7 linked regions of the Tribolium castaneum genome follow. The main gene of each other region encodes a partner of the protein of the gene in region 7 in a complex. Links are inferred from orthologs where the notes say so. Each region holds a gene or a part of one and is shown on either strand. Other genes may lie near its edges. The genes, in order: eIF3k, CSN6, eIF3b, eIF3i, eIF3c, eIF3g1 and eIF3m.

Region 1 (2,651 bases), on a different chromosome or scaffold from region 7:
CTCCTAACCTCAGTTTTAAGTTTACGAAACGTCAAATCACAAACGAAAAGGGGCGTCGAAGACAACAATGAGTAAACATCCCTACAATTACGGTGCTACTGCGTCCACTGACGTAGGTTTCATCGGTAAGCGCTCCCCCGAATTCAATAATTTATGCGATGGCGTCGTAACAAACATTTACACAATCAACTCAAGTCTCAAGACCTTAGACAACGCTTTAAAAACAATCGGAACCAGAAAAGACAATCAGGGATTAAGAAGTTCAATGTAAGTCTTTTCCCTTCTGGAATTTCAATCACTTCCCTAATTCTAGACACGTCACTCAATTGAGCACAAACCAGATCGCATCAGTCACAAGCAAAGACATTCACAAGCTCAAGCAACTTGTATCCAAAAGCGAGAAACAGCAGCAGTTGCAAGTAGAAAAGTTAGAAGAGAATTTTAAAGAAGCGATCACGCGCTACTATTCCTTACAAAAGGACTTGGCCAACAAGCAGAAATCACATTTATTGGTTTCTGTAAGCATAGAAAATGACTACACGCCGGAAGAAGACACAGAACAGCAACGGCAAGCTCAGCTTGCACGCGAAATGGCGTTTGAGCAAGATATGCTCATGGAGAGAGAAGCTAGGATTAAACAAATTGAAGCCGATGTACTTGATGTTAACGAAATCATGCGCGAATTGGGGTCCTTAGTGCACGCCCAAGCGGAAACAATCGGTATTGAGCTAACTTTTAAAAAAATCGGGAGATTAATCAACTCTTTTTTTAAGATACTATTGAAAATAGCATAGACCATGCAACTGGCAATGTGGAAGAAGCGACAGAACAGTTAATTACAGCAGCGAGTTATCAGAATAAGTATAGGCGCAAGTTGCTATTCATGGTACTGATAGGACTTGCAATAGTTGCAATAATTATTATAATACTAGTTGTACAGTTTAAAAAGTAGCTGCGTAATATTACTTTTCTTTATAATTACTCAAACCTGTTTTTGTGGTGAATAACTGCTTGATATATTTATATACAGTATACACAGACTTTTTATAGCAACTAATCTTATCATAGAATTTATATTTATTTATGTAATTATCTTAATCACAAAATATGAATGATATTTAGTTTTTTTGTATAATTATCCATAAAATTCTATGAGAACCGCAAAAAATAAGTAGTGACATGAAACACTCTGTAGTTAAAATGTAGGCAACACATAAAACAACAGTTCCCTATCGCTTACAGCGGCCTCTGTTCCAAAAACTTTGAATTTTAAACGTCATTAAGACGTGTTTTTTGAGAAAGTTGTGCTTTTTTCTCATTTTTTAGTGAAAAACAAATTGAAAACCATGGCCGAAGCAATGAAACAAACTGTGGCAGCAATGCTTAAAGGCATTGAACGGTATTGTTATTCTTTTATTACGTTTTTTTACCATGCATTGGACTTAACCTCTATTTTCAGGTACAACCCTGATAATTTACCGACTTTGGAGCACTACGTGGAGATACAATCGCGCGAAAATGCCTACGATTTAGAGGCTAACTTGGCCGTCCTTAAATTGTACCAATTTAACCCTAGTAGCTTCAATATCGACATCACAAGTCAAATCCTGCTCAAGGCTTTGACAAACCTTCCAAACACGAATTTTATTTTGTGCAAATGTCTTTTGAACGAACGACAGGTTAATAAATTCAGTCAATATATTTGTTTTGCAAAAAAAAAACATTTTTTAGCTGGCGGAAGAACCCATCAACCAAATTATCTACTTGGCCGACATTTTGGAACAGTGCGATTTTCAATTGTTCTGGACCAGAATCCACTCAATGCCAGAGTTGACCCAACGAATTACCGGATTTTTAGACTCAATCCGGAAATTTGTGTGTCACGTAGTTGGAATCACGTATCAGACCATTGAAAGGTCCCATTTGGCCGAATTATTGGGAGACGTTGATGACCTTACGTTGAAAGTCTGGGTCAATAAGTATGGATGGAAGGAACAGGGCCAGTTGATTTTCATTGCCAATCAAGACGAAAACATCAAAACTAAAAATATTAACGAGAAAATCGATTTCGAAAATGTCGGAGCCATTATGGCTTCATGTCGCTGATTTGTATTTTAATTTTTCAATAATAAAATAAAACTACTTCGTGTCTACGGACCTCTAAATGCTAGGATACGAAACGACCAAATAAATCGTCCCCGTCCTTGATAGTTCCGTTAATATCACCAGAGAGCGCAGTTACTTGAGTTTTCAGAGCAATGAACTTGAAAAAATGGTTGCATTTGTGTAATAGTTAACACACAGCAATAAAAAAATACAAGCAAATTGGGGATTAAATTTCAATAGTAAGACAAACAATGCAAAAATTTTATCGTAAATTATATTTTAAATAAATTAAAACTTTTGGCACTGTGTCCCATATTTTTCAAAAGGCTGCGAATACGCTTACAGATACAAAAAAGTGTAAGGAACAACGTTGTAAAGAATTAAATTTCCTATCAAAAAATTCGCGACACCATATCTTTGGCACTCAAACCGTTGATGGTCTCCCAGACTTTTTAAAGGAAAATATAAATTTCTTCCTTTTATTTTATATCTTGTTTCGTCTCCTACAGAAGTAATAATCTGTATTCGTGTGATTGTTTCGGATG
Region 2 (3,952 bases), on a different chromosome or scaffold from region 7:
AATGCAGCCTGTGTACGAACATCAATGTTTTTGTCGTAGGGATTTAATTTAAGCAAAATTGGAGATTCATTAATGTCGCATATTTGCTTATGGATTTTAATGTCAGTGGTGTTGGGGATGTCTCCGGTGGTGTACCAACCAATGAAATCCATGTCACTGAACACCTGCTTGACTGCAATAGATTGTTAACAAACAATTTTTGTGTTTTCTAGTGTTTGAATTTACAATAAGAGTAGTTTTCTTATTTTTATTATTTGTATTCACCTTTCAAGCCAAGATCTCTGCGCTCTCTGGTGAACCACTCCCTTGCGAAATTTGATTTTGGCAGCTAGAGTACCATAAAAGATCTATTAAAAGTGTCAAACAGACAAAAAACGTTTGTACCTTTTCAAAAAAATTACATTTAAATTTCCCGCTATATGGCAAAGCAGCATTTCACAATTAACAACCAGAAAAACCAAAGGTCTTAACTTGAAAGGCGAATAATTGTCATAACTAAGCGCAAAACTTGAGAAAAATTAATAAAAAAAAAAATGAAAAAATATATACACCGTATTCGGTAAATGGACTGCCATCGCTTTACTGCGAACTCACAGGAGTCAGAAAAATATTATTCCGCATTTACATGAACTTTACTGTTTATAAAATTTTCAGCTACTGTATCCATACTTTACAGTTTATAGCAACCTTGTTAGAGTTGCCACCTGTCCGGTTTTCACTCAATACAATCCGGATATTAGACGATATGTCCGGTATCCGGATCAAATGTTAATTTGTAATAAATGTCCAGTTTTCTTAGGGTAATTTAAATTTTGTTGTATCTAAAATTAAAATTAACGACCAATTTTAAAAACTCTGCGATAGAACGCTTAATTCCATCTGTAATTTTTCTGAATTCGAAACTATCTAGTTGTTTCCAACAAATACTTTGAATATTAAAAAAAACTTGGAGTGAATTGGAAAAATGTAGATATACAACTTCTAAAAATTGAATTTACATTTTGCAAACAGGATACCGGATAGTTTTGCAAAAAAAATGATGCAGAAAGGTGGTTTACTGTTTATACAATGTGTTTTTAAATGATTCTCATCTAGTTAACTTTGAAATAATAAATACAGAATGTTAATATTCAATGTCTAAATGCCTATCATTAGTTATATGTTCTTTTACATGAGAAATTCACAGATGATTAGATGTGAATCATTCTAACACTCATTGTACAGGCTGCTGCATTTTAGATGTCGGAATAGGGGAACTCCAAAACTAAGAGATTTAGAGAAAAACAAGTGACACATTTTCTGGTCCGTTTTTTTAAAAAATAATTTTGGTCAACCGCATCCCGCTATCATCTTTTGTTTTCGACTTATCAACAGAACTTGACATTTTAACGAAATCTTAAAAAAAATCATATATATCTTCCTTATTATAAAAGATACACATTTGAAACACAAACATTATACAAGCACTTTTTACAGAGAATTTAAAAATGTTATCAGCGATTTTTTTAACCTTTCGTTTAGCTGTAATAAGTTTTATTTTTTTAAATATGAATTATAGGAGGCTGTAATATTTTTGTAAAGCTAATTTTTTTCTGATTTGATGTGTAATACATTCTTTTTAAATATTAAAAAAAATACATTTCGCTTTTTCTGTATAAAGTTGACACTAAAATGTCAACTTTTGTTTATAAGTCGAAAACAAAAAACGATAGCAAGATGCGGTTTAGACCAAGATTATATTCTCAAAAAACGGACCCAAGAATGTGTCACTTGTTTTTCTCTAAATCTCTTAGTTTCGGAGATCTCCTATTCCGACATCCAAAATACAGCACTCTGTACAATATTATTACTACAATATTTTTTATACTAATGCTGTTTGTTATATTTCTTGTATCAGTACATACTATTAAAACTATTGGCAATGTTTTTTTGGTTTTGTAATATTTTATTTGAAAATAAATTTATTTTTATTAAACTAAGTAAAAATTCTTAATACAAACGAGAAGTCAGGTAATAAGATGCCATTACCAGAGTATTTTATATACGATAATACGATAATATAAGAATGTAAGTTATTGTTGTTAGTCATTTTATTGTGGTGTCCAAAGCTAAAAAAAATCTGATGGTAACCCTAAACGTTGCCTACCTCCCACAAAAAATTTGCAGTCTGGCTAAACTTCATTATAATTTACAACAGATCTTATTCAATGAAATTGAAGAAATAAATGAGTCTCAATTACAACAAACGCAACCAACCATACAGAAAAAATCTTCCCTACTCTGATTAGTGATTACAAATTCCGTTGACCACACGGTACATACTTACATTGTTCTTCCTTCATGTTGTAATAATCCCTGTCGATAATAACATCCCCTCCAATTACACTAAATACCAGTTCAAATGAGTTCATTATTTCAATGTTTCGCCCCTTCTGTTTACCAATCAAAGCCCCAATCACTTAAAATGTAACATTATAAATAACTAACTATACTGTAAATGGTGTCGTACCTCGTTGGACTGAGCCCTCTTGAGCCTTTTCACGTGTCCAGTGCTCAGAAACATTCATTATCACCAAAGGGTGCAATGAACAAGTCACAGAACCGACAGCCCCAGCTGCCATCACACTTTTTTCCGAATCTTCCGCCGGATTATTTGCAACATCAGCAGAAGCCGGATTATCGACTTCCATTTCCATTGATTCTTTCGTACTCATATTAATTATTACAAGAAATTGAATCAAAATGTATAAATAACACCGCTAACAAAATGACAAATGACAGCGCTTTGACCCTTTGACAGATGTCAATGTCACAAGTGGCGCCAAACTTAAACGCAACATATTAACATATTCCTCAAATTTTATTAAATTCAAATACCTAATTAAATTTACTCATTAGACGAATTAACGTCATCACTTCCATTATTTCTGTAGGACGCATATAATTTATTACAAGATAATTAACCGAAATGACAAATAAGATCGCTTTGACAGAACGTGGTGCAACAAATAAAAATATTCGCTCTTTTATTTTATTATTTTAATTAAATTCTACAACCAATATATTACAAAATTTAATCATCCGACGAATCAACGTCATCAAAATCGCTGAAGTCGTCCAAGTCATCGTCAATCTTAAGCGCGTTGAGTTTGCTTTTCAAATCTTCCTTTCTCTCCTCGTCATTCGTCGAATCTTCCTCACTTTTTTTGCTCATGTACCTCAAAAACGTCCTCCGTTTGCGTTCCGGAAGCGTATGTAGCAAATTCTTCATTTCGTTGTCCAGTTTGAGTTGTTCCTTTTCGTCCGGTTTTGTTGTAATAACTTCTTTCGTTTCACAACATTTTGTACAAACACCAAATTTTTTTCCACAGTCTGTACACATCACATGATACGCTTTCTTCACGTTTTTCTGATCACATCTGACACATTTTCGTGGCTGTGTGAGCGGTTTGTATTTTTTGTACTTTATTTTCCACTCGATTATTTCCTTGCAACGGACACAAACGTCGCTGATTTGGATGTTGTTAATGTTTTTCGTGCGTTGACTTGTGTCGTGGAGGGTGTTTTTGAAGGCGGTTTTGTTTTGATGTTTTTGGGAGCGACTCCTTTGGGCGTTACCTTTTTGGGTGCTCATTTTTTCTGGAACGAAAACGTAGCTAAATGGGCTTTTATGTCTTTAATCAATTTTTTTGTTAAAAAAACTCATTTTTATTGATTTCTTTGCCTATTTCAATTTCAAACTCTTTATTGAATTGTTGAATGACCTAAAGATAAACACGCCAATAAAAATCAAAAAAGGCAAAAATAATTAAAATATGTTCGGCAAAACTTTCTCATTTTCTGTTTGTTTTTAGCAAAACGCTCGAAAATGACAAAAAGAATAATAAAATAAAATAAATCTCAAAAAAACTGACAATTTAGTTTGAAAACTTCATTTTTGACAAAGTTGTTA
Region 3 (3,296 bases), on a different chromosome or scaffold from region 7:
GGCAATTCATATACAATATGCTCAAAATTCCTCATGAAAATTTTGTTCACTGTTTTTTAACAAAAAAATAAATTGGTCAAAACTAGAGGTTTTTTCTGTGTAGTTTTAAACGAAACAAACTTTTTTGCTAAGGTTTTCATCAAGTCACAATGTTTTTTACGAAATTTAGGGTTGTTTTCCGGTAAAAATAGAACTGTTGAATTTTTTAACAGTCTTCAAATGGGAATCCAAATATTGGAAATGGATATTTATTAATTTTTTTTAATCTGATTTTAATTTAACACTTATGTATACCCTGGTTACGTCTGTTATATTTGACGGAAATGCTGTACTTTAGACCCTCTATGTAGAGGGTGTTAGGGAATGGCTTAGCAATATTGTGTAAGTGAATTTGTCATGATCAGACGAGTTAAAAACCCTTATATAATTTTTCCAAAAGGTGCGTACTTTCTTTAAAAAAAAAATATTAACCCACCTGTTGAGAGCCACTGGGCTTATGGTAGTTTATTAGCGGTTATTATTATATTTTTTTTTTTCATTAAATAAGGCAACATTTTCATTTGTGCGGAAGGTTCGAATCCCGGTCTTGGCAAAAAAAATATTTTTTCGTAAACTTTAGTAACAAAACACAAATTGAAATAGAAGAATAACGTAGTGAACCAACAAGTTATTTTAGCTCAGCTGTTTTGCCAATATTATTAGAATTTACGCTAAATTTTATAATTCTAGTTCAGCGGTTCTCAAATTTTGAGAACAAAAGTTCAGAACAAATTCTTTGAAAAACCATGCATTTTTGATTTACATAAATTTACATAAATCTTTAAATTTTTGCTAAGCCATTACCTAACACTCTGTATTTAAATAATAATAAATCATTGGCATAACTAACCTGATCTTTGATTAAATTTACCGTTTCTTTCAATTTTTTCAAACAAAAAGTTACAAATTTTATTTACTAAATACTTAATGGTACAGTAGCAGATACGGAATTTTGAGCACTTCTGTCACTTCGTAGTCGAAAGGTATGGAGTATTCCATACGTTTAAGTCAACGAAATGTCATAGGCGTCCAAAATTTCGCGTCCGCCACTGCACATATTATTTGTATTATGTTCGAAGGTTGGCAGAACTGCACTGAAGTTAAATGTGGTATTACGTTAAAGCTTTGGATAAAACAAAAAAAAGTATGTCAATTTTTCACTTTCAAAATTGAGACATTACCAGTTGGCTTAAAAATCCCTAAATCGATTAAAATAACAAAAAGTGCAAAATGGGGACAAATTACACAAAACAGTATAAAAAAACTCGTTTCATAAAACCTTGAAGTACTTATTCTTTAAAACTGAATTCGTGCTTCAAGACTGGTTTTATGAAACTTGTTTTCTAATATACTATTTCCACACAGATATTTTTAAGCTTATTTTTTACAAATGTGAACCGTGTACACTTTAAAACCTGACTTTTTAGTAAAAAAAATTAAATGTCTAAACTCATGAGTTTATATAATTTTTTGAAAACACTTCTTAACTAATTGTTGCAGAACTGGCCAAGAAAAGCGTTCTTTCAACCCTGAAGGCCCCTCCTCATGGCCGATTTTCCGCTGGTCTCACGACGACAAATACTTCGGACGCGTGGGCAACGACGTCCTCTCCATCTACGAAACCCCCTCGTTCGGTCTCCTTGAGAAAAAATCAATCAAAATCAGCGGCATCCGCGACTTCAGCTGGTCGCCCACCGACAACATCGTCGCCTATTGGGTGGCAGAAGACAAAGACGTTCCAGCCAGCGTAACCCTCCTTGAAATCCCCAACCGCAACGAAATCCGCAAGAAGAACCTCTTCAACGTCGCCGATTGCAAAATCCACTGGCAAAAATCTGGCGATTATCTATGCGTCAAAGTCGACCGTTACTCGAAAGTTCGCAAAGAGAAAAATGAGACGAAGTACAGCGGAATGTACTGCAACTTCGAGATCTTCCACATGAGGGAAAAACAGATCCCGGTGGATAGCGTCGAGAGTAAGGAACCCATCCAGGCGTTCGCTTGGGAACCGGTCGGATCGAAGTTTGCGGTCATACATGGAGAATCGCCGAATATTAATGTCAGTTTTTACGAAGTGAGAGTGGGACAAGCCCCAATTCTGCTTAAAAAGTTCGAGAAAAGGGCGTGTAATCACCTGTTTTGGTCGCCCGGAGGCCAGTTTATTGTTTTGGCGGGGTTGGGATCGAATGGTGGTGGATCATTGGAGTTTGTTGATACGCACGAGTTTTTGGTTATGAATACGACGGATCATTTCCAAATGTCGGATGTCGAGTGGGATCCGACGGGAAGATACGTCACGACGTCCGTTTCGTACTGGAAAACCAAAGTTGATACAGGTGGGTTTTTGGCTTTTAAGCTTGATTTAGAAATTGATACCGAACCTCTGTAATTTGAAGTATTGTTGAATTGAATGAATTATTCTTGCGGGGGTTTTCCCAGATTATCGTTTTTTTTTTTGGGGGGGGGCATAGTAGAGAGGGGCAGTATATTTTGTTTGTTTTTTTGTTTATTACTACCAACGTTTTGCCAGTTTTTATGAGGGGGGCTTCTTTAGGGCAATAAATAATTAGCAAACCATTCGTGCAGAAACAACGAGGAGGGGAACTATTTTGTTTAACAATAAATAAATAAACCAAAATAAATTGCACTGTGTCTGTTATCCTAATAAATAATTAAATCTTACTCAAATTAAACTCACAACAGACGATGAACCGTGAATCAAAAAAACTAATAACATTTTTAACCAAATTTGGTTTTCAGCTTTTGGGTCAATTAACAAAATCCGTTATTTTCGAGGTGCTTTTCTAAACGAGCTCTCAGAAAATAAAAGAAAATTTTGAAAATTACTGAATAGGTCAATTTTTATTAACAAGGGGAGACTTTTTGGTGCACTTTTAAAGCACTTTCAAATACGAACACCCTAAAAAGATTGAAAAGCATGATCTCAATTGTGATTCCTCAAATGAAGGGTATGTTTACTAGAAAATTTGCTGTCTTGTTTTTGACTTTCAATTTTTTTTATTTTACATGTACTCTGAAAGTTATAATGAATAAACAAACTTGACAAATTTTTTGTCAAGTTACGTAAAGTATCATTAGGTGAATTAGTCACATGTTTAAAATTCAAAACATTTAACAAAAATGTTTATATTAAAATAGTATAAATCATAATTTTAAAATAAAACGACCTTTATATTAAAGGAAACAAGACAAAGTGGAGGCTAATAATTATAAAATTCATAACAAATACTATTCTA
Region 4 (3,486 bases), on a different chromosome or scaffold from region 7:
AGTAATTTTTCAGTCTCAAAAAACACAAAACGTAACTAAATGCAGTAATACGGAGCTGAAAATTTCATTATTTTTGCTTTTTCGAATGTTTTAGTTACATTTCACAAGTTGGAAGCGCCGGAATAAAATTTACCAAAATTATTTTCGTAATTAAATTTCAGTTTCAAACGAACGAAAAACACATTAACAAGGGCTTTATTTGTGTATTTTCTGTCAAAAAGTCAAAAAGCTATGACAGATAAATCCATAAAATCCGGGTTTTTGTTAAAAAAAAACAGAACATAGTTAGGTATTTTATTTTGGAATACTCTGTATACAGATTAAAATATTTTTAGAACGTGCCTAATAAGTCTTACAATAGTAAACCTAGCGTTTCAAAAAAATTCAACTTGATAGCTTGCATAGAAAAAAAGTTATGGAGCACCTGTATAATCATTATTTAAAATCATTGCTCCGAAAACTTAGACTTGGACGTAATCTAGGAACAAAAACAACCAAACTGTTTTATTAAAAAATTTATTAATACCAGCTATCCATTTAATAATCGAAATTATACTCAAAATATGACGAATCGAAATTATGCACTCTCACATAACCATCTTCACCTCCTGAACTATAACTCTTGCCATCTGGATGAAACGCCACACTATTAATCGGCCCAAAATGCCCTTTAACCCTCCCAAACTCTTCTTCAAACACCATATGGAAAAACCTCGAGTCAAATTTCCCAACCCTTGCCGACGTGGTTGTCACATCCATGGCATCTTGCCCTCCGCCCACAACCACATGCTCAAAAATGGGGCTAATGGCAGCTGAATTAACCGGCCGTTCTGTCTTGTAAGTCTTCAGTAACATCAAATCAGCAGCGTCGAACAGTTTAGCTGTGTGGTCTTTGGACGCTGTCACAAACATTGTCCCGTCTTTATTCCACTGCATATCGTTGATTAAATGTTCGTGTTCACGTGTTGAACTGATCTCTTTGCCTGACTTCAAGTCCCACTTGATCAAATCCCCGTTTTCGTGCCCGGTTATTATAGTTTCGTCCAGGTTATCCCATAGGATTGACGAAACACGGGAACCTTTAATCGGGATGCGTAAAATGGGGTCGGCGTGCGAGATGCTTTCGTCCACGTTACGGACGTCAATAATGAAGATCTCGCAGTTGTGTTTGAGGGCTTTGTCGGTGGTGTACACTGCCATGTTGCCCGAGTAGCTAAACAGACACGTTCGGACTGATGAATTGGTTGAGATGTTCCCGATTTCTTTGCCCGTTTCACAGTCCCATACTTTAAGGGTGTTGTCACCGGCACCTGACAGGAACCTATAAAGTTTAAATAGTTTAAAAAGTAGCAAAATAGGTGATATTTCTGGTCTAAGTAGTATTTGATTAAATCAGTAAAAGCAAATTAATCAAAACTTGTACAGGGTGTCTCACCTAAAACTTTCGAGATTAATATCTGTTTTATTAATTTTAATTTTAAAATTACGATTTTAAGACTTCAGTTTTTGCATTAATTGGATTTTAATCTTTACTTTCCTAAATATCTGCATTTTAATTTTCATAAAAATACGTTGACAAATAACTGAGATATCAGGCTCAAAAGTATTAGGTGAGGCACCCTGTATATTCGCTACTGAGGCAACCTTATCGCGCACCCATTTGCTTTATTGCAGCAATAAATTTATTATTATTATTAACCTAGTGGTGGTCCAGTCGACGTCGATGCACCAGACAGCCCCCTGGTGGCCGTTGAAGGTTCCCAACCTCTCGCCATTAAGGGAGTACCAAACGTTGGGTTTGTTGTCCTTTGAGGAGGAGAAGAGGAGGTCGCCCTCACGGTTGTACTTGATTTGGGTGATGGCACGTTCGTGGCCGTGGAGTAGAAGGGGTTTCTGTGGGGGTTTTGAGGTTAAATTTAAGCGAACAATATGTGGGTGAAATTGTGGGGTAATGTAATGTTTTACGGTTGTGGGGCGTTTTTTTCGATTGATTGTGAGTCGTTACTTACCATTTTGTTAAAAAACTGGGCGTTTTTTTAAGGATTTTAATGATTAAACACGCTTTTTTTGACGGTTGTTTGACAGAAGAGGTGTCAAAATTAACTGTCATGGTGGGTTGTGCAGTGGCGGGGTTAAGTCAGTGCCGGCTCAGGTGAAATAACCGTATTGTCAAAATTAACTGATAAATGGCGTTATTGCCATTTTGGCAATTTTTAGCAGTTGGGAAAAATATGTAATAAAATTAACTGTGATTATTGATTAAAAACTCTTTGGGCCTTTACTGATTTTTTTTTTTAATTATTATCTTTACAAACTTAATCTTTTAAAATAATATTTCATTGTAGCGATTTTGTTTATTTTTGTATGAAATAAAGGGCTTTTGGCAGTAAAAAAATTAAGTAGAGCCATTAATTTAAGACCTTGGGACCTTACAATCTTTTTTTTATCTCAACTTTTTAAACTTTATTTTTTCAACTCCCTTTTCGTGTTTTAATTTTTGTAGGAAGCAAAGCCTGATGATGGGAATTTGATTGTAAAAAAAATTAAGTGTGGATAAATATTCCCTGGGGCCTTACCTATTTTTTTTTCTTTTTTTTTTGGAAAATATTTTAATTTTTCAAACATTATTTTTTAACCCCCTTCCCATTTATTGATTTTGTTCAATTCTGCAAGGAATATATAGCCTAGCCATGAGACTTTCGACTGTAAAAAAATTAATTGATGACAAACATTCTGCTTACTGAATGTTTTTCTTTTGTTTTTTTGCAAATGTTTTACTTTTTAAACTTCATTTTTTTCAACCGGCTTTCCGTACTGCAATTTTGTTTATTATTGCAGGAAATAAAGCTCTTGGATAGTGTTCGACTGTAAAACAATCAAGTGGAGGTAAACACTCTTTAAAACCTAACAGATTTTTTCTTTTTATTTTCAAAATTATTTTGAATTTTAGAACTTAATTTTCGCAACGCTTTTACCGTGTAAATAATAAATATTTTTGCTAGTAATAAAGCGCTCCAGTAGGGCCTTGGCTTGTAAAAAAATGAAGTGGGGACAAATATTCCTTGTAATCTTATTGAATTTTTTTTCTTTTTTTCTTTTTTGAAAACTCCTTGACTTTTCAAACTTTATTTTTTCAATCTCCTACCCGTGTAGCGACTTTGTTAATTTTTGCAAGAACGCGTCCTACTGATTTCAGCAACTGTAAACTAAAGAAACAAAATGGGGATAAACACTTTTTTTCGAAATATGTACAGGGTGTAATAAAAAACAAAGAAACTAAAGATTTAATCCAACTTTAACTTACCTTTATATCAAGTCGCACATTTTAAAAGTTAAAGCCAAAGTTTTTGCTTGCTTAATAAAAAAAACTCCAATTAAAATCTGAACAAGAATTTTATTGTAAAATAACACAATACTCTAAATATTTACATACAATTGCGTCAATTTGTAATGAAAAAAAATCCAACTACTGAATAACATGAAATT
Region 5 (4,274 bases), on a different chromosome or scaffold from region 7:
AATAATATCTTTTCAAATTTTTAATATGTTAGAGAAGAAGGTCTTCTGAAGCTGTTTTACAAAAAAGAAGTTCATTGCTCGATGTTATCCAATCAAGACAGCGGAATTTTTAACTTTGAGTTTTATTTGAATTTTTCAAGAATGGTTATTTTTGACAGACTCTCACAAGAAAACCAAAAATAATATCTTTCCAAATATTTAATATGTTATAGAGGAAGATCTTCTGAAGCTGTTTTATAAAAAAGAAGTTCATTGCTCGATGTTATCCAATCAAGACAGCGGAATTTTTAACTTGGTGTTTTATTTGAATTTTTCAAGAATGGTTATTTTTGACAGACTCTAACAAGAAAACCAAAAATAATATCTTTCCAAATTTTTTATATGTTATAGAAGAAGGTCTTCTGAAGCTGTTTTATAAAAAAGAAGTTCACTGCTCTATGTTATCCAATCAACACAGCGGAATTTTTAACTTTGTGTTTTATTAGAATTTTTCAAGAATGGTTATTTTTGGCAGACTCTAACAAGAAAACCAAAAATAATATCTTTCCAGATTTTTAATATGTTATAGAAAAAGGTCTTCTGAAGTTGTTTAATAAAAAAGATGTTCATTGCTCTATGTTATCCAATCAAGACAGCGGAATTTTTAACTTGGTGTTTTATTTGAATTTTTCAAGAATGGTTATTTTTGGAAGACTCTCACAAGAAAACCAAAAATAATATCTTTCCATATTTTTAATATGTTATAGAAGAAGGTCTTCTGAAGTTGTTTTATAAAAAAGAAGTTCATTGCTTTATGTTATCCAATCAAGACAGCGGGATTTTTAACTTTGTGTTTTATTTGAATTTTTCAAGAATGGTTATTTTTGGAAGACTCTCACAAGAAAACTAAAAATAATATCTTTCCAAATTTTTAATATGTTATAAAAGAAGGTTTTCTGAAACTGTTTTATAAAAAAGTTTTATAAAAAAGAAGTTCATTGTTCATAATATCTTTCCAGATTTTTAATATGTTATAGAAAAAGGTCTTCTGAAGTTGTTTTATAAAAAAGAAGTTCATTGCTTTATGTTATCCAATCAAGACAGCGGGATTTTTAACTTTGTGTTTTATTTGATTTTTTCAAGAATGTTTATTTTCGACAGACTCTAACAAGAAAACCAAAAATAATATCTTTCCAGATTTTTAATATGTTATAGAGGAAGGTCTTCTGAAGCTGTTTTATAAAAAAGAAGTTCATTGCTCTGTGTTATCCAATCAAGACAGCGGAATTTTTTACTTTGTTTTATTGATTTTTTCAAGAATGTTTATTTTTGACAGACTCTAACAAGAAAATCATAAATAATATCTTTCCAAATTTTTAATATGTCATAGAAGAAGGTCTTATTAAGCTTTTTTATAAAAAAAAAGTTCATTGTACTGTGTTATCTAATCAAGACAGCCGAATAACAAAAGAAAAGAGGTCATTCCTCATTTTTTTTAATAGAAAAACATTTAAAGTACTGATACTTACGCTCGGAATTGCGATTCCCCCCTTCACAAACTCCCACTCCCCTTCCCCATCCTCCTCATCCTCCTTCTTCACCTTCCGCCTCTCCTTCTCCTTACGTTCCTTCCTCCTTTCCTCCTTCCTCCGATCGCGTTCTTCATCATCTTCATGCGCCGGCCCAGTTTTCTTCAAAAACCGCTCCCTCATAGTCCCTTTCCCTTCATCTTCATCAAAACTATCCGAACTCGAGTCACTATCACTAGGCCAATCGTCCGAATCAGACGACCCTTCATCATCAACAATCTGTTTGGAAATTTTAGCCACAGCTTTGGCCGGCGCTTCAGTTTGAGTGTCTGGCTCAGGCTCGTGTTTCTCTTCCTCTTCTTCATCGTCCGGCTGGTCGGGGTTTTCCCTAAACTTGGCAATATCCTCCTCGAAATCTTTGATGTACTTGCGCAACTTCTGGCGCATTGAAGCCAAAGACTTGCTGTTGTTTTTGCTCATGTTTTTGCGTCCGTCGCGATCTTCCCACATTTCGTTGATGAAATCTTCCATTTCGACCAAACAACGGGTGAAGAAACGGGGCGTTTGCCCCGATTCTTCTTTCGCGATCACTGGGAGCGCTTTAACGTAGGCCTTCTGAAGGTCTTCAAAACTGGTCAACATGCTGCTCATGTCTTTGATTTTTTTGTAATTGCGGATTTGTTTGATAATGTTAGTGAGTTCCTCGTAACGCTTCTCTTTGGCGGAGCGAACCACACGTTTGACCTCCTCTTCATCGTCGCTAAACTAGAAGGGGGCCATTAAAAAAATGTTAAGCTACATGGGGGCTCACTTACGGTGAAAACGGGCGCTGGCGCGCGCTGAATTGGCTCTTCCTCGGAGGAGCTGTCGGAGTCTGAGTCCGAACCGGCGAAAAAACGACTCATTTTTTTACCTACAAAGTGACATAACCTCAAAAAAATTACGTGAAATAACGCAATAACTAGGCGTTAAATTGGCGTTAGGTAACGGTTTTTCGCTTCTTTGGGCCAAATGAAGACCGAAAACTTAATTTAAGACTACTTTAAAGCTAGTTACTGGGGCCCATGTGGTTCATGTTTGGAGACGGAACTCCCCAAAATTATAGTTAGAAATGTCGGAACCACAATTTTAAGGTAAAATACACGTGAAAGAGGCAAAACTTACGTGTTTAAAGCCTTTTTTTCACTTAACAGATTTTCCGACACGATTGTAACCACAAAATGGCCAAAAACTTGTGCCAACTGTCAAAATCGGGACTTTTTTGTCTTGTGATTGGTAGTGTTATGGTAATATCGTAAAAAAAGGGCAAATTAATTTGTTTTTGGGCACGAAAGGGCCCTTAAGTCGAGAGCCAGGGTTAGGTGGTGGTATTTAGGTTCAAGTTGTGTCAAAAGTAAGGATTCTACGGTTAAGATACCAAAGACGTACAAATGAAACGCTCGCGTTTTCGGTAGTTCCTTTATTGTCACCAGAGAGCGCACTTGTTCCATTAGCAGATAGCAAAGAAAAAATACAGGCACATAGAGCATTAAACTCTCGATAGTAAGACAAAAAAGTAAGGAACAAAGTTGTAGAAAATCAAATTTCCAATATATATTTTTTATTTAAATTAACTTATTTATCTCCTAAATACACAACAAAATTATTTCTTCTTGATAATGCTTTGGATTTTTTGCCACTCCCTGTCCAAATGCGCCTTTTCGTTCTTATCCTTATGCTTCCTGGACCTGCGCCCATCTGCCATTTTAAGGCCGTACTGGAAGGCTGCTTTCGGCAAAGCCTCCTTCTGGTTCATATAATCGGAATACTCCTCAGCTGTGTCAAAGTCCCAGCGTCCAATCGGCCCCTTTTTATTCCCCAAGTCCATCTTAGAATAATCAACCTCATCATCAGAATCATCAATCGCATCGTTCATTTCCTCCAATCCGGGATAACACTCAGCATATCCCTCAGGCTCTTGAGCCAGTTTATTAAGGATTTGTGCCGATTTACTGACTTTGAAAGTCGGTCCGCTATTTTCAAGCGCTTCCTCTTGTTTATCAAAGTACGTGTGTTTGTTATGGTCACGTGACGAGTTTCCATGTTTACCACTTCTTGTGGGTACGTAATCACCAATATCTCCATAGATGGAGTCATCACCGGTTGTACGTTTTGTTGTTTTTTTCGGTTCGGGTTCTTCCGGTTGTTCGTTTTCGCGACTTTCGGGGAGTCCCCGTTTGGTTTTTTTGTTCTTTCGGTTGCCTTGGCGCAAGTAACTTAAAATTTGGGTTAATTTATTTATGACAATGTCGTTGGTTGTGAGGGTTGTGGTGAGTTCAAATGACGGAACGTCGGCGATTGAACGGATTAAAGTTGTTGGAATGTCTGATTCAGCCTCATCGTCTGAAATAAAATTTTAATAGTCATGTTGGTATTAAATTAATAGGAATTTTAACATTAAAATTCATGTAAAAATTTTTAAAAAAGAATCACAAAAACCTTTAAAAAATCCAAAAAGAAGTACAGAAACAATGCTAGAAAATAAATAAGAGCAATTCTAAAAGAAACTAGAGAAGAATTTTTATAAGCGAGAGAGGAGAATATAAAAAAAATTGCGGATTTAAGATCTAAAGAAGTCTTTAGGAGATAATCATAAAAATCTTTAAAAAAATCTAAAAGACAGTAAAAAAACAATGCTAAAAAATGAACAAGAAGAATTCTAAAAGAAACTAGACAAGAATTTTTATAAGCGAGAGAAGAGAATCTAAAGGAAAATTTTGCTGATTT
Region 6 (2,970 bases), on a different chromosome or scaffold from region 7:
ACTTATTAATATTAAATAACCAGAAGGTTCTTTGATTGGTTAATAAATCTTTTAGTTAGTTTATTAACCTTTTATTTTATTTTTATTGGTTAGTTTATAACCAAAAACCAACCTTATTTATTTGCTAAATTAGCCAGCAATAGTTAATATTTTGCAGACTTCTTAAACTATTGTCTAAGATTTTTTACCTTTTCAAAAAAAACAAAACAATTAACTAGCTTTAGCAAAGTTCTATCAGGTATTGTATGCCTTTACAAACCTCTCGAGTTAAAAAAACTCAATTGCTTGGGATTTTTTATTTTTCCGAGAAGTTACCGTAATGTTTACCTACCGTTTACGCGAAAAATGCTAAGAGCTGATAGTTTCAACACTTGAGAATTTTCTATATTTTATTTTAATAGTGTACCTAAGACCTGTACCAATCTTCACCTCTGTTCGAATTATTTAAAACTGAAATGTCTACGTATTTTGTTGTATTGTAGGTTTGAAAAAACGCAACATTAGCTAAAGCATTTTTATTCAATACAAATAAAACTTATAAAATACATTTCAATTAGGGTGTGGCTTAGACCAATCCACCGTGAGTATAAGATGATCATAACCGTGTCCATTAAGCATAGAAATGGCTTTAGCAGCGTCGTTCTTAAACTTGAAATGAATATAAGCGAATCCTTTGCAATAACCGGCTTGTTTGTCTTTCGCCAAATACAACTTCTGGATCGGGCCAAACGGCTTCACCAGATCCTCCAAATCAGTCTCAGTGGTAGATTCACTAAGATTGGTGATTCGAATCGCCGTGGCGTCGTCTCTGCGCGCCATATTGAGATTATCGGACTTCCTGACGGCCCCATCTCGCAAACTCGGCGGAATGTACTTGGACCCCCCGGCCTTGCCCGCATCCGACCCTGACGGAACCGCCGGGCCCTTCTTGTCGTCGGGCACTTTGCCCCCGGCCAGCATGGTGTCCTTCCAGGGGCACTTGGAGGTCCAGTGGTCCCCGCTGCAGGTGCGGCACTTGACCACGTTCTTGTCGCCCAGAGCCTTCAGCTTCTCCAAAGCGTCGTCTTCCTGCTTGTTGTCCTCCTCCTTGCTCGTGATGTACTGCATGTACACGTCCTCGGCGACGATCGTGGTGGCCGGGTTCGGGCCAGGCTTGTCGTTGGCACACTCGCCGAATTTCTTCCAAGTCTTGCGGAAAGCGATCGATTTTGAAACGACGCGCTTCTCGATCTTGTAGGTCCGCACGATTTTCATTTTTTTGTCGTCTTCGTTGTACGCGTATTCGGTCACGATCTTGAAGCCGTTTTCGTACACCTCGGTCGGGGGCGGGAGCGACCCGCCCTCCAACTCCACCTCGTCAGCCCAGCTGGACTTGACCTCTTCGGCAACAGGCATTTTTAGCTAATTTTGAAACGTTTTTTTGGAAAATATGGTGCGACAATCACGTTCACAAAAGTTAACCTCAAACTGTCAAACAACAGACTCGCCAACCTTTGGGGAATTTCGTTGCAAATTATTTATTTTTGTTTTTTGCAATACAATTTAATTTTGTTGATATTTAATAAAGCCATGTATTTTAAAATTTATTTAATAAACCGATTAATAAATAAACCCCGACAAACGGGGCTGTCGTGTTACAAACCCACAAACACATAATTACAGGATTCTGTAATGAAATTTTAAAATTGGGAAACTTATTCGGAAAGGTGGCTTTGAAAACCATCAACTACTAGATTTTGTACACAGAAAATGTGTGACTTGTGTTTTGCGTTCTTTTGCCAATAGTTAATGTTTTGCATTCTTAAATTAGTTAAATTTGTGTCGGGAGTGTTAAATTTGCATCCGTTTATTGGCTATAATAAAGTTTTTTTGCTTGTGAAACTTTCTGTCGCAACTGTGTAACGCCGTAAGTATACCTACATTAAAATAGTTGATATTTTGGTTCATGTTGCTTCTGATGATGTGCAGAAATGCAGCTTATTATTTATAAATGTATTGTCGCCAATTGAGACATTTGTGAAAATTTAGGTATCCTTCTAGAAGGCTACGGCTACGATTCTGTTGCTTTAGAAAAAATCTTTCACAGCCTTCTAGAGAAGAAACATTCTGCGCCGCCTTAGATAAAAAAGAGAAATTGAGTTAAAATAACTTGAAATGTCTCTGAAATCCAATAAAAATACGATTATGTATAAAGGGAATGCTAAATTAGATCTAATTAAATTTTCGTCCATTCAGAGAAATATGTAAAAATTGAGCAACGTGATTTTAAAAAATTTGATTTTGCTAATAGAGGATCCCAGCTAAGGTCGTCCTGGACCGATCTGCTTACTGGATGAAACTTATTTTTTATCAAACATAATATCCAAAGGATGTATTCAATGGGTTGCCAAAGAAATGTGTTCCAAACTATAATAAAGGGAGCTAAAAAGAGTCGAATTTTGGTCACATTCCACAGTGTTCTACAGCACATTTTTTAAACTGATTTCCAGGATACATTCTTTTACTCGGGCTGTAGGCGAGAAAGTTTTTTAAAATGCGGTCACTGCTTTATCTAATTCTGAAAATAATTTTTAAAACTGAAAAAAAAATCAAAAAAAAATCTAGTCCTCTTTGAAAATTATTATAAATTATATAAAAGTGCAAAAAAATATAGGGTGTTCTATTTAAAAAAACATATGTTTGCATTTTAGCTAATTTCAAAAATACCCTATAATACCTGAAAATAATTTTAGGTGAGTCAAATTAATTTTCTAAAATTTAAGCCAATAATGGACTTTTTCACATTACTGAGACACCTGTATATAAATTAGGACAATTTATAAAATAAAATAAAATGAGAAAACTCATTTTAGCATTTTATTATTAATATTATAAAATTTTACTAAATAAACAACCCGGCGCCTCCACCATTTTTTAATTGAAATCATTTTTAAAATAAGTTATCGAATAATCTTTTTTAATTGAAATCAT
Region 7 (3,401 bases):
GGAGTTGGTGCGTGAATTACGTGACCATTATACCGAAGTTTTGATGCAGAGATGGGTGCAAGTCTTTCGGGAAATTCTCTCGAAGGAGGATTTTCAGCCGATTCAAGTGTACGATCTCGAGGAGTATGAGCATATTTTGTCGTCGTTTCCATGGGACGAGGACTTGCCCAACGATGTGGTTTTCCCGCACAAGTTCCCCTTTTCGGGGATGGTGCCCAAGGTCTACCAACAAGTCAAGGAGTTTATTTACGCGTGTTTGAAATTCTCCGAGGATTTGAATTTAAGGTTTGGTTGTTGAATAATTCCAATCGAAGTGGGCTGTGACTGAATTGTAGTCAAGTGGAAGTCGACGAAATGATCCGCAAGTCGATGAATTTGCTCCTGACGCGGACGTTTAGCGGTTGTTTGTCGTCAACGTTTCGTAGCCCGCACATCAATCTTCAGGAAATTATCCAAATAATCATCGATACGGGCTATTTGGAGGAAGCCACGGTCTACTTGGACCAGTTTATTTCAAATATTACAGGGTAGGGCACAAAATTAATCCGCCAATAAAAACAAAACATTTAGGGAGGAGTCTCGAGGGGTGTCCACGGGAGTGGTCCAAGGCCAACCAGCCATGTTCCGCGTGGCTCGTGAAGACGCCGTGCGCCAAATTTGCGAAAAATTGCGCCAAAAATTGAACGAGTTTTACGAATTGGAGAGTTATGATTGGCTGTTGGGTGAGCCGTCAGGACACGCCTCTAGTTACATCTCCGATTTGATTGCTTTCCTCCAGACGACGTTTCAGAGTTTCACCAATTTACCGGTTTGTTGATTGGTTTTGTTGATTTTTTATCGAGTGATTTGTAGCCGGAGGTGGCGCAAGTTGCGTGTAAGTCGGCGTGTGAACACATTGCCAATTCGATGTTTCAACTGTTGATGAATGACGAGATCAAGCAAATTTCCATGGGGGCCTTAAACCAAATCAATTTAGATTTACTACAGTGTGAACGTAATTAATCGAAAAATGATAACCGGAAATTTAAACAAGTTTTACAGAATTTGCGGCCTCTGAGCCCGTCAAAGGCCTACAAGAGGACGTCCTCTTGTCGTATTTTACCAAACTACGGGAGACTTTAGACCTGTTCACGTCATGGGACTGGCCCACTTATTTCCACGACTATGGGCAAGAAACCAGCAAATATAAGCAAGTCAATCCAGATGATGCGATAGTATTGCTCGAAAAGTAACAAATCGGGTTATTAAACCACAAGTTAATTGATTCTTGTAGATTGAAAGAAGGCGATAAGAAAACTATGTTCACAGTATTGAAAAAGAACGAAAGAGACAAGAAGAAGTTACTGGAAACGGTCCTAAAACAACTGAGACAGCTGACCCAAATAACGCCCAACAAATAACCGACTTGTTGAATTAAATAATAAATTTTATTAATTATTCGGTGTTTTAATTTTTGTGGCCAACTTGGCCACCAAATTTAAAAAAGTAACAACTTGGCGTTTGCGCATGCGCATTGCCAACATAACCATCAAATTTGCGGTGTGGTTTTTCCCCTTAAAACAGTTAAAAATTGCAAAAAACCGTGAACTAACTGTAGAAAAATGCAAGTGCCCCCTGTCTTTATCGACGTGAGTCCCGAGGACCAGGTAGGCGCCCATTTGTGGCATTTTGTGTCCATATGACACTTTGAGGTTATGTTTTAGGCGCAAGAGCTCCGCATTTACTTAAAAAGTTTAGGCGCTGAAATTTCGGAGGAAAAATCAGTCAAGGGCATCGAAGACGACCTACACAAAATAATCGGCGTATGCGAGGCCTGTTTCAAGGAGGGCCAGGAGCCCGAAGTTGAGATGGTGCTCAACGACATTGTCTCAATCATGGTGCTTGTAAGTGTCTCGAATCATTTGCGCGTGGTATTGGACGTGTTTTAGATCCCGGCCGACCGGTCCGAGAACATCATCCTGGCCTTTTGCCAGAAGCTGCTCAAGGCTCAGGGCCCCAAACTGGGGCTGGTGTGCCTGCGCGCCTTGTGGCTGCTGTTCCAGTCGCTTGACGAGACGTCCCCCATGCGCTACCACGTCTACTACCACTTGATTTTAATTGCGGAGAAAACGGACCAGGTCAAGTCGGTGTTCCAGGATATCGAGCATTTGAAGCAACAGTTCGCCCCGTGTCCACCGACAAGCGAGCAGTTGCAGATTCTGTACCGGTTGTTGCACCAGGTGCTGCTAAAGAGCAACCACAGTGAGCAGGCTGCCAAGGTCATGATCGAACTTTTGGGGACCTACACCGATAAGAACGCCTCGCATGCCCGCGAGGACGCGATCAAGTGCATCGTCTCGGCCCTGGGGGACCCCAACACCTTCCTCCTCGACCCCTTACTGGCCCTAAAGCCGGTCAAATTTCTCGAAGGGGAGCTAATCCACGACTTGCTTAATATCTTTGTCAGCGAAAATTTGGCAACGTATTTGAAATTCTACCAAGAACACAAGGAGTTTGTCACGTCGCAGGGGTTGAACCACGAGAAGAACATGCAAAAGATGCGGTTGTTGTCCTTCATGCAACTCGCTGAGACCAACCCGGAGATCAGTTTTGACGTGATTGAGAGAGAGTTGCAGATCAAGGCTGAGGAGGTCGAGGCGTTTATTATCGAAGTCTTGAAGACTAAACTGGTGAGGGCCCGCATGGACCAAGCCGCTCGGAAAGTCTACGTCTCAAGCACCATGCATAGGACTTTTGGGCGCGCCCAGTGGCAACAATTGAGGGATTTGCTCCACTCGTGGAAAAGCAACCTCAGCATGGTCCAGGAAGGGATGAAGAACGTCACAGCGGCACAGCTCGAAATGTTGAACCAACAATAATTGTTTTGTAGCGATTAATTTAAGAATAAAAATTTTGGAACTAGTTGGGGATTTTTATTTTAATACCACGTCAAGTAACTAACTAAATTTGCTGCTTAAACTACGAAAATTACATTATTGCGCCCCATAATTTAATGTGGGGGTTTCACCCGCCACGTGTCGCACGTTCCTTGCCCCCAATCGGGGTCAAGAGCCGCCGGTGCCGTTTCATGTTGGCAGCACTGTGTGGTGTTGTGGCCGCTGATTCCGATTTTGTGGGAATTCCGTGCCTTCTTCTGATGCAATCACAGTTTAATTTCCGCTAGATAACACCGAAGAGTGCGTTTTGGTGTTGGTGTGTTAAATAATTGCAAATTTGGTGGTTGGAGTTAGGTTATGTCGAAACGTGTGCAGCCCCCGTGGTCGGCGCCGGAGGCGTCTGGCGGTCCGGTCCTGAAAGTGTTCAATAGTCTGACGCGTCAGAAGGAGGTGTTTAGGCCGATTTCGGGCAAAAAAGTGACTTGGTACAGTTGCGGGCCGACTGTTTACGACGCCTCGCACATG

What was found.
Region 1: eIF3m (region 7) and eIF3k share a complex: the UniProt entries of both Caenorhabditis elegans proteins name them as parts of the eukaryotic translation initiation factor 3 (eIF-3) complex. The link is inferred for Tribolium castaneum from reciprocal best matches to the Caenorhabditis elegans genes cif-1 and eif-3.K.
Region 2: eIF3m (region 7) and CSN6 share a complex: the UniProt entries of both Caenorhabditis elegans proteins name them as parts of the CSN complex. The link is inferred for Tribolium castaneum from reciprocal best matches to the Caenorhabditis elegans genes cif-1 and csn-6.
Region 3: eIF3m (region 7) and eIF3b share a complex: the UniProt entries of both Caenorhabditis elegans proteins name them as parts of the eukaryotic translation initiation factor 3 (eIF-3) complex. The link is inferred for Tribolium castaneum from reciprocal best matches to the Caenorhabditis elegans genes cif-1 and eif-3.B.
Region 4: eIF3m (region 7) and eIF3i share a complex: the UniProt entries of both Caenorhabditis elegans proteins name them as parts of the eukaryotic translation initiation factor 3 (eIF-3) complex. The link is inferred for Tribolium castaneum from reciprocal best matches to the Caenorhabditis elegans genes cif-1 and eif-3.I.
Region 5: eIF3m (region 7) and eIF3c share a complex: the UniProt entries of both Caenorhabditis elegans proteins name them as parts of the eukaryotic translation initiation factor 3 (eIF-3) complex. The link is inferred for Tribolium castaneum from reciprocal best matches to the Caenorhabditis elegans genes cif-1 and eif-3.C.
Region 6: eIF3m (region 7) and eIF3g1 share a complex: the UniProt entries of both Caenorhabditis elegans proteins name them as parts of the eukaryotic translation initiation factor 3 (eIF-3) complex. The link is inferred for Tribolium castaneum from reciprocal best matches to the Caenorhabditis elegans genes cif-1 and eif-3.G.

Annotation. Positions count from the first base shown.
Region 1 is NC_087402.1:8,161,871-8,164,521, reverse strand, and holds eIF3k (eukaryotic translation initiation factor 3 subunit K), read left to right. Parts: upstream 1-1,239; 5' UTR 1,240-1,346; coding exon 1,347-1,399; intron 1,400-1,459; coding exon 1,460-1,679; intron 1,680-1,731; coding exon 1,732-2,106; 3' UTR 2,107-2,151; downstream 2,152-2,651. Other genes in the region: Syx13 (syntaxin-12), read left to right, coding at 68-267, 314-720, 774-952. UniProt on the Caenorhabditis elegans protein: Component of the eukaryotic translation initiation factor 3 (eIF-3) complex, which is involved in protein synthesis of a specialized repertoire of mRNAs and, together with other initiation factors, stimulates binding of mRNA and methionyl-tRNAi to the 40S ribosome.
Region 2 is NC_087398.1:15,420,553-15,424,504, reverse strand, and holds the start of CSN6 (COP9 signalosome complex subunit 6), read right to left. Parts: upstream 2,801-3,952; 5' UTR 2,715-2,800; coding exon 2,510-2,714; intron 2,459-2,509; coding exon 2,327-2,458; intron 173-2,326; coding exon 21-172; intron 1-20. Other genes in the region: uncharacterized protein C9orf85 homolog, read right to left, coding at 3,074-3,634. UniProt on the Caenorhabditis elegans protein: Component of the COP9 signalosome complex (CSN), a complex involved in various cellular and developmental processes.
Region 3 is NC_087399.1:10,626,930-10,630,225, forward strand, and holds part of eIF3b (eukaryotic translation initiation factor 3 subunit B), read left to right. Parts: intron 1-1,539; coding exon 1,540-2,375; intron 2,376-3,296. UniProt on the Caenorhabditis elegans protein: RNA-binding component of the eukaryotic translation initiation factor 3 (eIF-3) complex, which is involved in protein synthesis of a specialized repertoire of mRNAs and, together with other initiation factors, stimulates binding of mRNA and methionyl-tRNAi to the 40S ribosome.
Region 4 is NC_087394.1:748,471-751,956, forward strand, and holds eIF3i (eukaryotic translation initiation factor 3 subunit I), read right to left. Parts: upstream 2,138-3,486; 5' UTR 2,013-2,137; coding exon 2,010-2,012; intron 1,894-2,009; coding exon 1,700-1,893; intron 1,322-1,699; coding exon 538-1,321; 3' UTR 501-537; downstream 1-500. Other genes in the region: mitochondrial carrier homolog 2, read right to left, coding at 3,486-3,486. UniProt on the Caenorhabditis elegans protein: Component of the eukaryotic translation initiation factor 3 (eIF-3) complex, which is involved in protein synthesis of a specialized repertoire of mRNAs and, together with other initiation factors, stimulates binding of mRNA and methionyl-tRNAi to the 40S ribosome.
Region 5 is NC_087401.1:16,334,285-16,338,558, forward strand, and holds the start of eIF3c (eukaryotic translation initiation factor 3 subunit C), read right to left. Parts: upstream 2,801-4,274; 5' UTR 2,669-2,800; intron 2,422-2,668; exon of another isoform or gene 2,419-2,421; 5' UTR 2,414-2,418; coding exon 2,324-2,413; intron 2,274-2,323; coding exon 1,509-2,273; intron 1-1,508. Other genes in the region: beag (protein Red), read right to left, coding at 3,151-3,890. UniProt on the Caenorhabditis elegans protein: Component of the eukaryotic translation initiation factor 3 (eIF-3) complex, which is involved in protein synthesis of a specialized repertoire of mRNAs and, together with other initiation factors, stimulates binding of mRNA and methionyl-tRNAi to the 40S ribosome.
Region 6 is NC_087395.1:17,787,696-17,790,665, reverse strand, and holds eIF3g1 (eukaryotic translation initiation factor 3 subunit G), read right to left. Parts: upstream 1,513-2,970; 5' UTR 1,396-1,512; coding exon 550-1,395; 3' UTR 501-549; downstream 1-500. UniProt on the Caenorhabditis elegans protein: RNA-binding component of the eukaryotic translation initiation factor 3 (eIF-3) complex, which is involved in protein synthesis of a specialized repertoire of mRNAs and, together with other initiation factors, stimulates binding of mRNA and methionyl-tRNAi to the 40S ribosome.
Region 7 is NC_087400.1:753,795-757,195, reverse strand, and holds eIF3m (eukaryotic translation initiation factor 3 subunit M), read left to right. Parts: upstream 1-1,471; 5' UTR 1,472-1,601; coding exon 1,602-1,646; intron 1,647-1,703; coding exon 1,704-1,883; intron 1,884-1,928; coding exon 1,929-2,858; 3' UTR 2,859-2,901; downstream 2,902-3,401. Other genes in the region: Sec15 (exocyst complex component 6), read left to right, coding at 1-285, 336-527, 571-808, 853-994, 1,042-1,228, 1,274-1,400; CysRS (cysteine--tRNA ligase, cytoplasmic), read left to right, coding at 3,234-3,401. UniProt on the Caenorhabditis elegans protein: Component of the eukaryotic translation initiation factor 3 (eIF-3) complex, which is involved in protein synthesis of a specialized repertoire of mRNAs and, together with other initiation factors, stimulates binding of mRNA and methionyl-tRNAi to the 40S ribosome.